3 linked regions of the Oryzias latipes genome follow. The protein of the gene in region 3 purifies or fractionates together with the protein of the main gene of each other region. This does not show direct contact. Links are inferred from orthologs where the notes say so. Each region holds a gene or a part of one and is shown on either strand. Other genes may lie near its edges.

What was found.
Region 1: the proteins of carm1 (region 3) and smarcc1 purify together in Homo sapiens (affinity purification with western blotting; 3 studies listed by BioGRID and IntAct, with this or other methods). This does not show direct contact. The link is inferred for Oryzias latipes from reciprocal best matches to the Homo sapiens genes CARM1 and SMARCC1.
Region 2: the proteins of carm1 (region 3) and putative transcription factor p65 homolog purify together in Homo sapiens (affinity purification with western blotting; 4 studies listed by BioGRID and IntAct, with this or other methods). This does not show direct contact. The link is inferred for Oryzias latipes from reciprocal best matches to the Homo sapiens genes CARM1 and RELA.

The regions. Positions count from the first base shown.
Region 1 is NC_019874.2:27,737,684-27,741,333, forward strand, and holds part of smarcc1 (SWI/SNF complex subunit SMARCC1), read right to left. Parts: intron 3,317-3,650; coding exon 3,279-3,316; intron 2,580-3,278; coding exon 2,458-2,579; intron 2,360-2,457; coding exon 2,288-2,359; intron 2,186-2,287; coding exon 2,072-2,185; intron 1,955-2,071; coding exon 1,801-1,954; intron 1,446-1,800; coding exon 1,335-1,445; intron 1,235-1,334; coding exon 1,175-1,234; intron 1,061-1,174; coding exon 802-1,060; intron 385-801; coding exon 223-384; intron 1-222. UniProt on the Homo sapiens protein: Involved in transcriptional activation and repression of select genes by chromatin remodeling (alteration of DNA-nucleosome topology).
Region 2 is NC_019876.2:27,221,557-27,225,206, forward strand, and holds part of putative transcription factor p65 homolog, read left to right. Parts: intron 1-463; coding exon 464-598; intron 599-1,636; coding exon 1,637-1,741; intron 1,742-3,571; coding exon 3,572-3,650. UniProt on the Homo sapiens protein: NF-kappa-B is a pleiotropic transcription factor present in almost all cell types and is the endpoint of a series of signal transduction events that are initiated by a vast array of stimuli related to many biological processes such as inflammation, immunity, differentiation, cell growth, tumorigenesis and apoptosis.
Region 3 is NC_019866.2:25,178,388-25,182,570, forward strand, and holds the start of carm1 (histone-arginine methyltransferase CARM1), read right to left. Parts: upstream 2,854-4,183; 5' UTR 2,792-2,853; coding exon 2,650-2,791; intron 1-2,649. UniProt on the Homo sapiens protein: Methylates (mono- and asymmetric dimethylation) the guanidino nitrogens of arginyl residues in several proteins involved in DNA packaging, transcription regulation, pre-mRNA splicing, and mRNA stability.

The sequences.
Region 1 (3,650 bases), on a different chromosome or scaffold from region 3:
CATTTTCCCTCACTTCTCTGAACGCCAGCATCTCCACACACAAACCACCTCCTCCAGTCAACATGTCGCCCTCAGGTGGAGCATTTGATATAAAAGTCAGAAGAAAAACCTCCAACCTGACCCACTTTAGGCGCCATCATACCCGTCTGATGTTTAAGAATAAACCTTATATAAAATGCCCTGCATAAGACATCAATGTAAGTCTGCTTTAATGCTGCTCACCAGTCTTTTCTGGCTCCTCGGGAGCAGTTCCAGCGATCCCGCTGCTCTCCAGGCCAAAGGTGGGGTCAACCTTTCCTGTACTCCTCGCCGCCTCCTGCACCTTCTTCACATGAGCTTCCACCAACTCTGCTGGAACCTCTTCACGAACGCGAGAAAACTCCTCTGCAAACGCAGCAAGGACATTTCCATATTAAAAAATAATAATAAAAATAAGCATCTTCACAGCTCGTTCAGGGCCGACGTCCACCATTAACAACACTGGCACGGAAAACAATACTTTGAAACAATTTCATCCTAAAACTAAAACAAGTTCAGTATTTATTTTTTAAATATGCTAATTAAATCTAAAAATCTAATTAATTAAAAACCTTGAGGATTTTTTCCCCTCTAATTTTGCAGTGGAACAGATTAAAAAAAATAAAATCTAGATTTGTATTGCTTTAGCGCTTACGTTTAAAAATGCCACAATTATTGCAGTCTCAATGTCTTAAGTAGCACTGATGCAGTAAAGTTAAACAGAACATGACATGAAATTCTAAATGTCCTTGCGTGTTTCCATAGTTTTTTTTTTTTTTTTACCTAAAGCTGCCTTGGCTGCAGCAGAGGCCACTCTGGGATCAACCACAGAGGCCAGGAACGCCACGGTGCTCATCACAGGGTTTCCAGACTGGCTGAAGGGTATGGGCTGATAAGCCAGCGGACCCAGAGACGCCTCTGTGTTCTCCAGGTAGGGATCTTCGATAGGCAGCCGCAGAAAGTGGAGGATACACTCGTCTTGGGTGCGTGAACCGACATGCTCAGATACTTTGTTCCAGTCGTCTTTGAACATCTCCAGGGCCTGTGATGAGTGAAAAATAAAGTCGCAACACAGAAGAAAAATAAAGACAAGTGCAGACAGACACACAATTGTGATCCACTGACAGAAGCCGATATCTAAACAAATAAGACTTGCCTCCAAGAGAAGAAGAGTCTCCTGCTCAGTCCAGTCTCTGGTGGCGATGCCTGCTTTAGACTGCAGAAAACCAAAGTTCAACATTGCCGTTTGTTTAAGGAATATGCATCTCCAATAGTTTCCATGCAGAACTCATGCAAATGTCAAACAGGACCTTTACCTTAGTGTTTTTCTTGCTGTAGAGGTCAGCACGAAGGCCAAAGTTCTGCAGGTCGATGGGTTTATCTTTGCTTTTATCTGCAAAATTAGGCATCGGCTGCTGAGGAGGAATCTGTTGGGAAAATATTACGACAATTATCAAGAGCTCTAAGGTATTAAAGCACTTTTTAAATAAAAATGTACTTTGGTTTTAAGCTGTTAATTTTTCTTTACTGAAAACAAGTGACTTCTTCATGAATGAAAGCTGATATATATATTTAAAACATTTTGTTGGTGATAATGTCAAACTCTGCCGGCATTTGGTGTTGACAATTCATAAGATATATAGCTTCGGTAATTATTTTCTCGCAGACAATGTTAAGAAGAAAATGTCTCAAGTTTTAAACTCGATTATTAATAAGTCGATATCATACATGTACTTCAAAGTAAAAGTGACTTTGCTCCCACCTAAACAGAGCTGTGCTTACCGTTGGCGGTCTGTGGTTAAGCGGCATGAGGCCGGACGGGGTGTCAGCCAGGACAGTGAAGTGAGGTGTGGGTGGGGGGCCCATGGGGAGCGGGCGGCTTTCAGAGTCCACCTGGTAGTTGACTAAACCCCACTGCTCCAGGAAGGCATGAACCCTAAAAACATCACAGGGAAATTCACAGATTCAATTTCTCTGATCATTTTTGTTCGTTTGTTTTTCAGGATTAAAACATGAGCATCAAAGAAGCAGAAAAGCCCTGAATCCTCTTCACCTCATGATGGCGCAGACATCTCCTGTCAGGTTCCTGCGGCAGGAAGTGGAGGTGAGGTACTCCTGGGGGTTCAGCCGATACGTGTCAATCATGAAGTTCCGGTACGCCAAATATCTGTCAACAAGTCGAGAAGAATCACATTATAGTGCGATTTAGAAAGTGTGATGTAGAAAAATGTATCTGACAGTGAGGCTGAGTCTGTAAATATAATCTCACATTTCTGGAGTTTTGGATTTGTTTTTCCCGTTAAAAAACTCAGGCAGGGCTCTTCGTTCAATCTCGTGGATGCTTAAGGAGAAAAAAAAAAGACTGTTTAATGCAACCGACAAACACACTCATCAGAAATGTTTAACACGTTTATTGGTAGCAGCATTTTTAGAGCGTACCTGTTGTAATCAAACCAAGCTCCGTAGCTCGGAATGATGATGTGATGAGTCTGTTCGGTCACATTATCCTCGTTGGCATCTGTCATTCGGTTCACTTCTCCTTTGTTTTGTTCCTCATCATCCTGCAAGAAAAACCTCAATTATAAGAAACTAAAAGACAAAATACGGCTGGCCTCAAAGGTTCTATTAAATCTGTGATCCAACAGAACAAAGTTTGATTTTGTTCAAACTAATTTCCCACGTGTTTCATAAAAGCTACAAACTCTTAAAAAAATCTTATGAAGCAAATGTTTGTATTTCAAGCACAATAAAATGTAATTTAGAATCAGGAATTTTATGTTTGACCATTAAATCAACATTTGTATTGTTCTTTAAAATGTTCTTTGTTTTTTAACTACCGGTAATAACTTTATATTTTAAAAGGAAAATATTTGAAACAAATTATCCTCAAATACTTCTCATTATGTTTTTCCCCCTTAAAGAAGTTAATATCAAAACCTTTTTCAGGACTTTGGGCTGTCAATAGACAATTATTAAAATTATTACATAAAGTTTCTAAATATCCTTAATGATACAGTAAACTTTGGTAGAAAATTAACAAGAGTGTCAAAGCCAAAGTGGATTTTTGTTTTACATTTATCCTTTATGATATAAAATAAACAGAAGTAATTTAAAAATTCAAAACACTTTACTTTAATGCTTAAATTTATAATTTGGCACTAATGTAGTAGTATGTGTCTAATTTTAAAGTAATAGATTTTTGTGCATTGGCCTTACCTTCACTTATAGTCTGTTTGTATAAAATCTTTGAATTTTCTTACCTTTCCACCAGACATTACAGAGTCATCCTCCATGTCATCTAACAAAACCCAGAAAAACAATGATCAGGTGACGCAGTCAACCCAATTAAAGCAGATTTCAGCTTTGGACTGAAATGTGTTTCTACGCATTTCAATTGGTTAAGACAAACATTCCTAAAAAAATAATAGGAAAGTACGTCTTCGTTGCTTTGAAAAACTTTTTTCTATACTAAAGGTTTCACACGTCTACAAACATTTGAGATGGTTTTACATTTGTCACACTGTAAAGGGTCTGTATGGACAAAGCATGCGGCTGCGTTTGATGTGTAGCTAAAATATAATCTTACATCTAAACATTTAGGCTCCAGCTGCATTTGCGGCTGCAGTACATAC
Region 2 (3,650 bases), on a different chromosome or scaffold from region 3:
TTTAAGTCACTTTCTTTCTGCAGAAGATGAACGTAATCTTTAGTGAAAACTGGACGTCTCATTTACATGAGGGGCTTTTAAAGTGAAAAAATGACAGCTGACAATGTTTTTGGTTAAATAAGGGCATCAAAGCCTGAAGTCTTTTGGAAATCAGAATGCAGTGTTTGGTACCAGATTCGCAGTGGGTGTAAATGAGAAGGACGGCTGCTGTGAAGCCTCTGTGGCTCCTTATCTCCACAGCGCTGCGTGCCTTCATTGTGGTTTGTTTCTGCACAGCCCTGCATGTCATCCAGTTGGTGTCTTGCTGTCATATTTTTATGCCCCGGCTTTGAAACAAGATGACTTTTCTTTTCCATCTCCAAACCTTGTAGAAGTGAAAGCAGCCCTTTCTGTTTCATATTGCTGTCAGGTCACGAACACACATCGGCGCTGCCTGACTTCCTTTCTGTGGTTTCCCTTACAGTTCCTGAGTCCAAGGTGTGGGAGGAGGAGTTTGACCTGAATTCGGTGCGGCTTTGCTTCCAGGCCAAGATCACGCTCCCCACAGGGGAGCTGTACCCTCTGGAGCCGGTCGTGTCACAGCCCATCTACGACAACAGTGAGTGGAAAACCAGTCTGCCCGCTTTGGAGCCGCAGTTTTTCCTGGGAAGACGTTCAGCAAAGCTCAGACATTTTAGCAAACCTCCGTCAGGAAGCAGAGGAAGAGAGGCCGGGTGGGCTCCACTCATGGGAAGCTTGATTGCTTGGGTAAACACTGTAAAGTCTTGCGATCTAATGATACTGTACTGGGTGCGTCATAAACAGCTTGAAACCGTCTGCGTCCACAGACGCTCTTTGTTCCTCTTTGGAGGAAAGATTTTTCTTATTTGCCTGAAATGATTTACAAGAATCATTCCTCAATAATTCTATATTATAGATATTATATAACAGTAAACTTTAACTAAACAGACTAAAATAAACTGGGCATCCCTGCCCTTAGACCCTTTAAAGACGCACTCTGATGAAAATTGGATTTTTGGTGTTTTTTACACGCTCTTGTGGTGTTTTTCTGACAAAAATTTAGCTTAAATTTGCATTTGTGGGTATTTCTGTTTTCCGAATCATTGTGAATCAAGAGCAGATGAAAAATGTAATTTGAAAAAGATCACATCTGCGAGCGTATCTGCATCCACTGTCAGACCAATAGAGGCGTGAACGTCTTCGTTTTTCTCGTCTGAGCTGGAATCTGGCTCCAAACTGTACGGCTGGATAGCTCCAATATTGCTCGCCATTTTTGTTGCACCGCTAATGCTAGGTTAAGCTAGCAGGTGAGAGTGTAAACAGATGGATCACGGGAAGTGAGGTCGTGCTTACTCCACAGCAACGGTTCTGCCCACAACTCAGAGGGGAATCTCTAATTAACTCCTACCGCTCTGCAGAAACTTTGTCCAAAAAACAGATGCTTTATTTTGTCTACAAACGGCAAACTCATAATTAGAGGACCACTGGGAACACTTTGAAAATAAATCAAAAGATGATTTGACCACCTTTGAAGAATTGACATTAATTTGCAAAACTCAAATTCTTCCCAAATGGACAACTTTAGACAATTCTTTATTTGAAAGTATCCGTCTTTCAATACTTTTGCTTCTTGCAGGGGCGCCAAACACAGCCGAGTTAAAGATCTGCAGAATCAACCGGAACTCTGGAACCTGCAAAGGAGGCGATGAAATCTTTCTGCTGTGTGACAAAGTGCAAAAAGGTGAGGCTTCCACCAAACAGACGTTACTGCAGATGCGTGAGGGGGCTCTGCAGCAGACGGGGTCGACAGACCATGTCCGCTGGCTCCTACTACAAAAGAATCTTTCAAAATAAAGTACCAAATGATCACATCAAGGTCTGTTTGTTTTTCCCAGTGACATGAGGGCTCTCATAACTTAGCATCAAACTTTTCTGATGCTGTGTTCCTCCGTGTCTTAACCCTTTGATGCCTGAATTTGTTACCAGCTGTGAAAACATTGGCTTAAGTTTTTGCTTTCGATGCTAAATTAAGGCAAGACTGGAGCAGAAGTGGTTTGATGCATATTTGCATTTTTAGGCGTCGAGGGGTTAAATGTGAAAGCGTGCAGATATAGACTAGTAAAACAGAAACTACATCCTTCTGCATTCTGGGAACACTCAACACAACCTCCTCCACGAACCTCCTCCTTGGTCTTCCTCTCTTTCCTGGTAGCTCCAACCTCAGCATCTTTTCGCCGACATCATCACTGTTCCTCCTCTCAACCTGTCCAAACCCTCTCCATCTGCTTCTCTGCATTGATCTCCACAACCAGGATCTGTTCCTCTGATGGTCATTCCAGATCCACCCGGACCACTCCAAAAGAGAACCTCAGCATCTTCATCTCTGCTGCCTCCAGCTCTGCCTCAGAGCCCCTTAACCAGATATCACCAAATGGCGGACCGCGGTCCACATCCGGACCAACAGACTCTTCTCTCCGGTGTAGATACAATAACTGTTCGGCCTACAACTACCGTTCGGGGTCCTTCCAGTCACACTACGGTGGCCCCACTTGGACAAACTATGTAGCATGGAGATCTGCTCGGGCTCTACATATTTTCATTTCACGTTTCTTTTTGCAACGTAAAGTTATTTTCCTTCATAAGTTCTGTCCTACATTATTGTTTGTAGTGTTTATAGAGAGATTTAGCCACAACCCACTTTGTAAGAAGATCTGTGGCTGTTAGAATGAACCTGCTGCTCCACAGAGTGAACCGTGTCTCTGATCAGAGCAGCCAGAGTCTTGTAGCTTCGTGTTCATAGGCGGGGAAGGTGCTTTGTTAGAGTGTTCGGTCCGGAGAAGGGTTCAGAACGCAGGCCGTTTGGCTACAAATGGACTTAATAATAATCAGAACAATAATAAAAGCACGTTTACAAGATAACCCCGCTCTGTGTCGGAGCTCTGTTTGCTTACTCTGGACTTCATAATGTCTTTTTCTATGGTAGTGTCATAATTTGTCCAGACCAATCACTATCTAAAACGTCATCGGACCAACGGACAGCCAATCACATAATGTGACCTCAGCACTACTCGAAGGACCCCTGACGGTTGTTGTAGGCCGAACGGTTATGGTACCTACACCGGCGGTCCACATCTGGACCCTCCTTGGCTCCATGATCACTTTAGCTGCAGATGACCCTCCCGATCTCCCATAGTATGTGTCACCTCCTCCCTAAAAGCCAAACAGCACTTTTCCTTTCTCAACTTCCACCTCTTGGTCCTCTGCCCTTGTTTTCTTTATCTTCCTCGCACCTCACAGCTTTGCAGGTACTGATGTCGTTCACGTTTCGTCAGCACAGGAATCTGTCGCCTTAAAGCCGTTGGTGCATCAGCACAGTTGGATCTTTGAAAATTCGCCTTTTCACGTGTGAGGAAAGCATTCAGGCGGCTTTTCAGACTGCTGCCCTACGGAAGCTGGTTTACCAGCGAAACTCCAGAGACGGCGGTGTCTTTCTGTGACCAGCTGGGATTTGTCAAAGCACCGCACACTCCTCAATTCTTTGGTGTTCTCCCATGTTCCCGTCTCCCTGCAGAGGACATCGAGGTGCGTTTCTTCCAGGACTCCTGGGAGGGGAAGGGCACCTTCTCCCAGGCGGACGTGCACAGGCAGGT
Region 3 (4,183 bases):
TTTTAAATCAGCCTGATGACTCAGGGGGCAGAAACTGAACAAGAAGTCTTGGTTTAAACAAAGTCCAGTCAGTAAGAAAACCCAGACGAACTGCTGATCAACAGACAAACATTAAAGGAAATCTGCCACCAACAGAAAACAGACGCTAGAGTCGCCCTAACACAGTTGGAGTCACTCAGAGGGCTTTTCTTAAAGCTGGGGGCTGAGTCAGACACAGGTTCCATTTAAAGTAAAGTTGGTTTCCATCAGAGGAAGACAGGTTTGGAAATGTAAACATTTTTTCAGTAAAAATGTCACATTTAAATCAGTAACTTCATCCATGTCAGTTACTTTTGTGTAAACCTGCATAATAAATCATAAATGTATTATTACTGCGATATCCAGCTGTGCATTATGCATATCGCAAAAGATGGTGAAAAACACAATAAATTATTACAATCTTCTTCCTCTTTCGGCTTCTCCCATCAGGGGTCGCCACGGCGAACAAGTCGCATGGTAAACTTGGCAATGTTTTACGCCGGATGCCCTTCCTGACGCAACCTTCTCAAACCGGGCTTGGAACCGGCACGGAGGTGGAGAAGGGAATAGGGAGCAGCCCGGAGTCGAACCCTGGTTGCACGGAAGGAAGGCGCCGCAAACCAGCACGAGCTAAACCGGCTCCCTACAATAAATTATTACATTAAATGTGTTAAAAAAATCTTATGGCAGCTTGAAGTATTTAGCTAATCAAATGAATCCATTCATGCATTTGACCAATCAGATGGAGCCCTTTGATGTTCGGTGCTGACCTCCAATTTAGACCAGTTTTACTTGGATTATAATTTAAGTTATATTGACTTTTATTCAAATCAAACTGCAGTGAAATGGTCGATGGTCTATACTACTATAGCGCTTTTCTACCTACAAGGCCCAAAGCTTTACAGTCACACACATTCACACACTGCTGGTGGCTCTGCTGCCGAACACTGGTGCCAACCTCCCACCAGAGGCAAGGCCGGGTTCAGTGTCCTGCCCAAGGACACTTCGACTCATGGGGGTGCAAGGCGGGAATCGAACCTGCAATCTTACGACCATTGATTTATATTATTGTCTGGATTGAAGAACAAATTCCATGTCAGACTTCAAGCACTTAAAAAACACTAAAATATGACTGCTGTGTTTATTTTGGACGGTTAGTCTCAGCAGCCAAAAACGTACATAACAAAAGAAGAAGAAGAAAAGAAAACACGTACGAGTCACATATAAGTCGCACTTTTGGGAGAAATGTATTTAACTAAATACGGGAACAAAAAAAGACATTTCATCTCGAAAGGCAAATAATATTAATGGAATATGTAATCCAAAAATAGACTGAATGTAAATGTCACTACCATAACACGCTGAAGCTAGTCTAGCTTTAAGAACACTGAGGAATCTGATATGTTAGCAAAACATATGAACAACTGTTCAGAGAACCAGAAAGACACGCTAGCAAATCAACTGAACCCGTTATGTCACTACAAATCACAAAAAACGTAGAATTCGCCATTTTCTGTGTCGCTTTGGAAGAATTCCATGGACTGAAGGACGCTCCTTCTACGCTGCTGTCAGTAGCAAATATTAATACACGCCTACAGCGCCCTCTAGTGGTTGTTGATGTAAAAATCCAAACAAGTCGCACTGTTAACATGCAAAAAAAAACATGGCTCTTTACTGAAAAAACAAATACACATTATATGGTTAAATGGCCAAAAGACACATTTTACTAAAATTAAAAAACTTTAAAAAATAATAAAATAAATGAAAGATTTTTATTAGTTACAGTTTAAATGTAGAAAAATGATTCGTTGTAAAAATAGAAATACAGGTGAGCTCCTGATTAAAACAGACGATAGAGTTATTTCTTTATCTTTTAGTTGCTATTTTAGTCAAAGAAAACGTGGGCCTTTGCACAAAAACGGATGAAAACCCGGTTCTAGATCAGGTTCTGTTTACATCTGCGATGCTCACATCTAGGATGAGGAACAGGAACGGGGGGGGGGGGGACTCCACCGGGGGACGCAGCGGCGGGAACCCGCTTTTGTTCCAATGAGAACAAAGATGAACGCAAGGGGGGGGGGGGGGCCCCCCGAAACTCCTCCGAACACCCAAACCCAGGAAACTGGACTGAAAGTCCGGTTCCTCACCTCAGGACTGCCTCCGCGTGGCGGTTCTGCGTGACCGCTGCCCCCCACGCAGCCACAGCGGGAAAACCTACCTAAACACGCCGCCGTGAGTCCTACCGGCAGCGCGGGCACGACTGCAGGACGTTAGAGGGGGAAAAAACCCAAACTAATCCACCGCAAACGTGCGCGTGCCGGTTACACACAGGCCGTCGGCTTTGTCTGAGCCGCGTTCACGATCCCGCGAGCGTCTGCACGCTCCGTGCTGGATGTTGACCCACGACTCTAAACACTCACTGGGGGCGAAAAGTCCCGGCCGACCGCGGCCGGAGCCGAACACAACCCGAACAGCGCCGGAGTGTGGGGGCTGCCCCAGTCCACGCGGAGGGCTGAGCGCGTTCTTTATGTGGGATAGCTCGCGCGGCTAACTCTGCATGGTTAGCCGCGCGAGCGTTAGCACTGCGCAGATTTCCCGAGGCCGAGGCTCGCGGCTTCCACAGACACTCACCATTGGAGAGATTGATGAGGGCCGCTTCCGGCGAGCTCTTCAACTCCAGCCGCAGCGGCTGCTGCTCCGAATGCCGCTGTATGTCTCCATTCGCGTCTCCGATGGAGAGGAGCCGCACGCCGGGGAACACAGACGCCGCCATGTTGGAGCTGTAAGCAGACACGGCTGGATGGCGCGCACGTCCGCCCGCGCACCGTTCTCTCCGTGACGATGAACAGCGCCGTCATCCGGCTGGAGCTGGTACTACATCAACCAGATTTATATGGAGTAGTTTTTGTGTCATTATTCCCAGCGCAACACTCACCGATAAATCGTAAAACGTTAATTCAATTCAATTTTATTTCCATAGCCCAAAATCACAACAACAGTCGTCTGAATGGGCTTCGTACCGGTAATTGTAAAGCAAACAAAATCAAAAGGATCATGAATACACAGAATTCAATAGCAAAATACTAAACAAACTAAACTAAACTGGGCGTCTCTGCCCTTAGACCCTCCTTCCTTTTGGGAAAAACTCCTAAAAATAATGCATTCTGGGGAAAAAAGAAGAAATCTCAGGGGTGTCCACATGTTAATAACTTGGTGGGCTCTAAAAATTATTTGCACTTGAAACATAAAAATAGGAGTTAACAAAACAATTTCAATTTTAAAACTAAAAATTTAACTCGAGAGAATTTCTCTCTCTCTCTTCTCTGCTCCAAGAAAGCAGGGAACCGTGTCACAAATGTGCCACAAAAGCCGGCCAATCACAGATGTAGACGGGATGTTGATGCTGATTGGTCAGAAAGTCTTCCAATCAGGCAACCAAATCCAATCGACAAGGTTCAAAAATAAAATTGTTTTGTTTACATGTATTTTTCTGTTTCACGTACAAAATTATTTTCTGAGCACACAACATTTTTACACAAAAACCAGTGAGGGTCCATAGTGTTTAGAGACCACATATAGGGATAGACTGCCAAATACTCCAGGTCTGCTGTCATTACTATACTTGAAACCCACAAAGGACACAAGCTCGCATTATGCCATTTTATTTGCTTAGTGTATGTTAATGTATTTTCTCCATACAGTCACACAGTGAAGAGAGCGCAGTATTGGAGTGATGTGCTGGTTCTTGCTAAAAGATGGGTAGAGGAATTTTGGACCAGCTGGAGACCAGCAGAGACTGGTCAGTACCCCGTAGCAGAGGTGGGCACTGAGGGCCGCATTCCTGCATGTTTTCCAGCATACCCTGCTCTGGCATGTTCTAATTGGCTGGACACACCTGTACCAGGTAATCAGTCATGAGTAGGGCAAGATTATTGGCTGGACACACCTGAACCAGGTAATCAGCCATGAGTAGGGAAAGGCTATCTTGAAATCATGCAGACACACCGGCCCTCGAGGCCTGGAATTGCCCACCCCTGTCGTACAGAGTCACAGTAGTTCAGTCTGGGAACAACAAAGGCATGGATCACTTGCTCCAGAGCATGAGAGGGAAGAGCTTTGCTGATTGTGATAAAAACGAGACTGCACTAACCTGTTTGTCAAATTT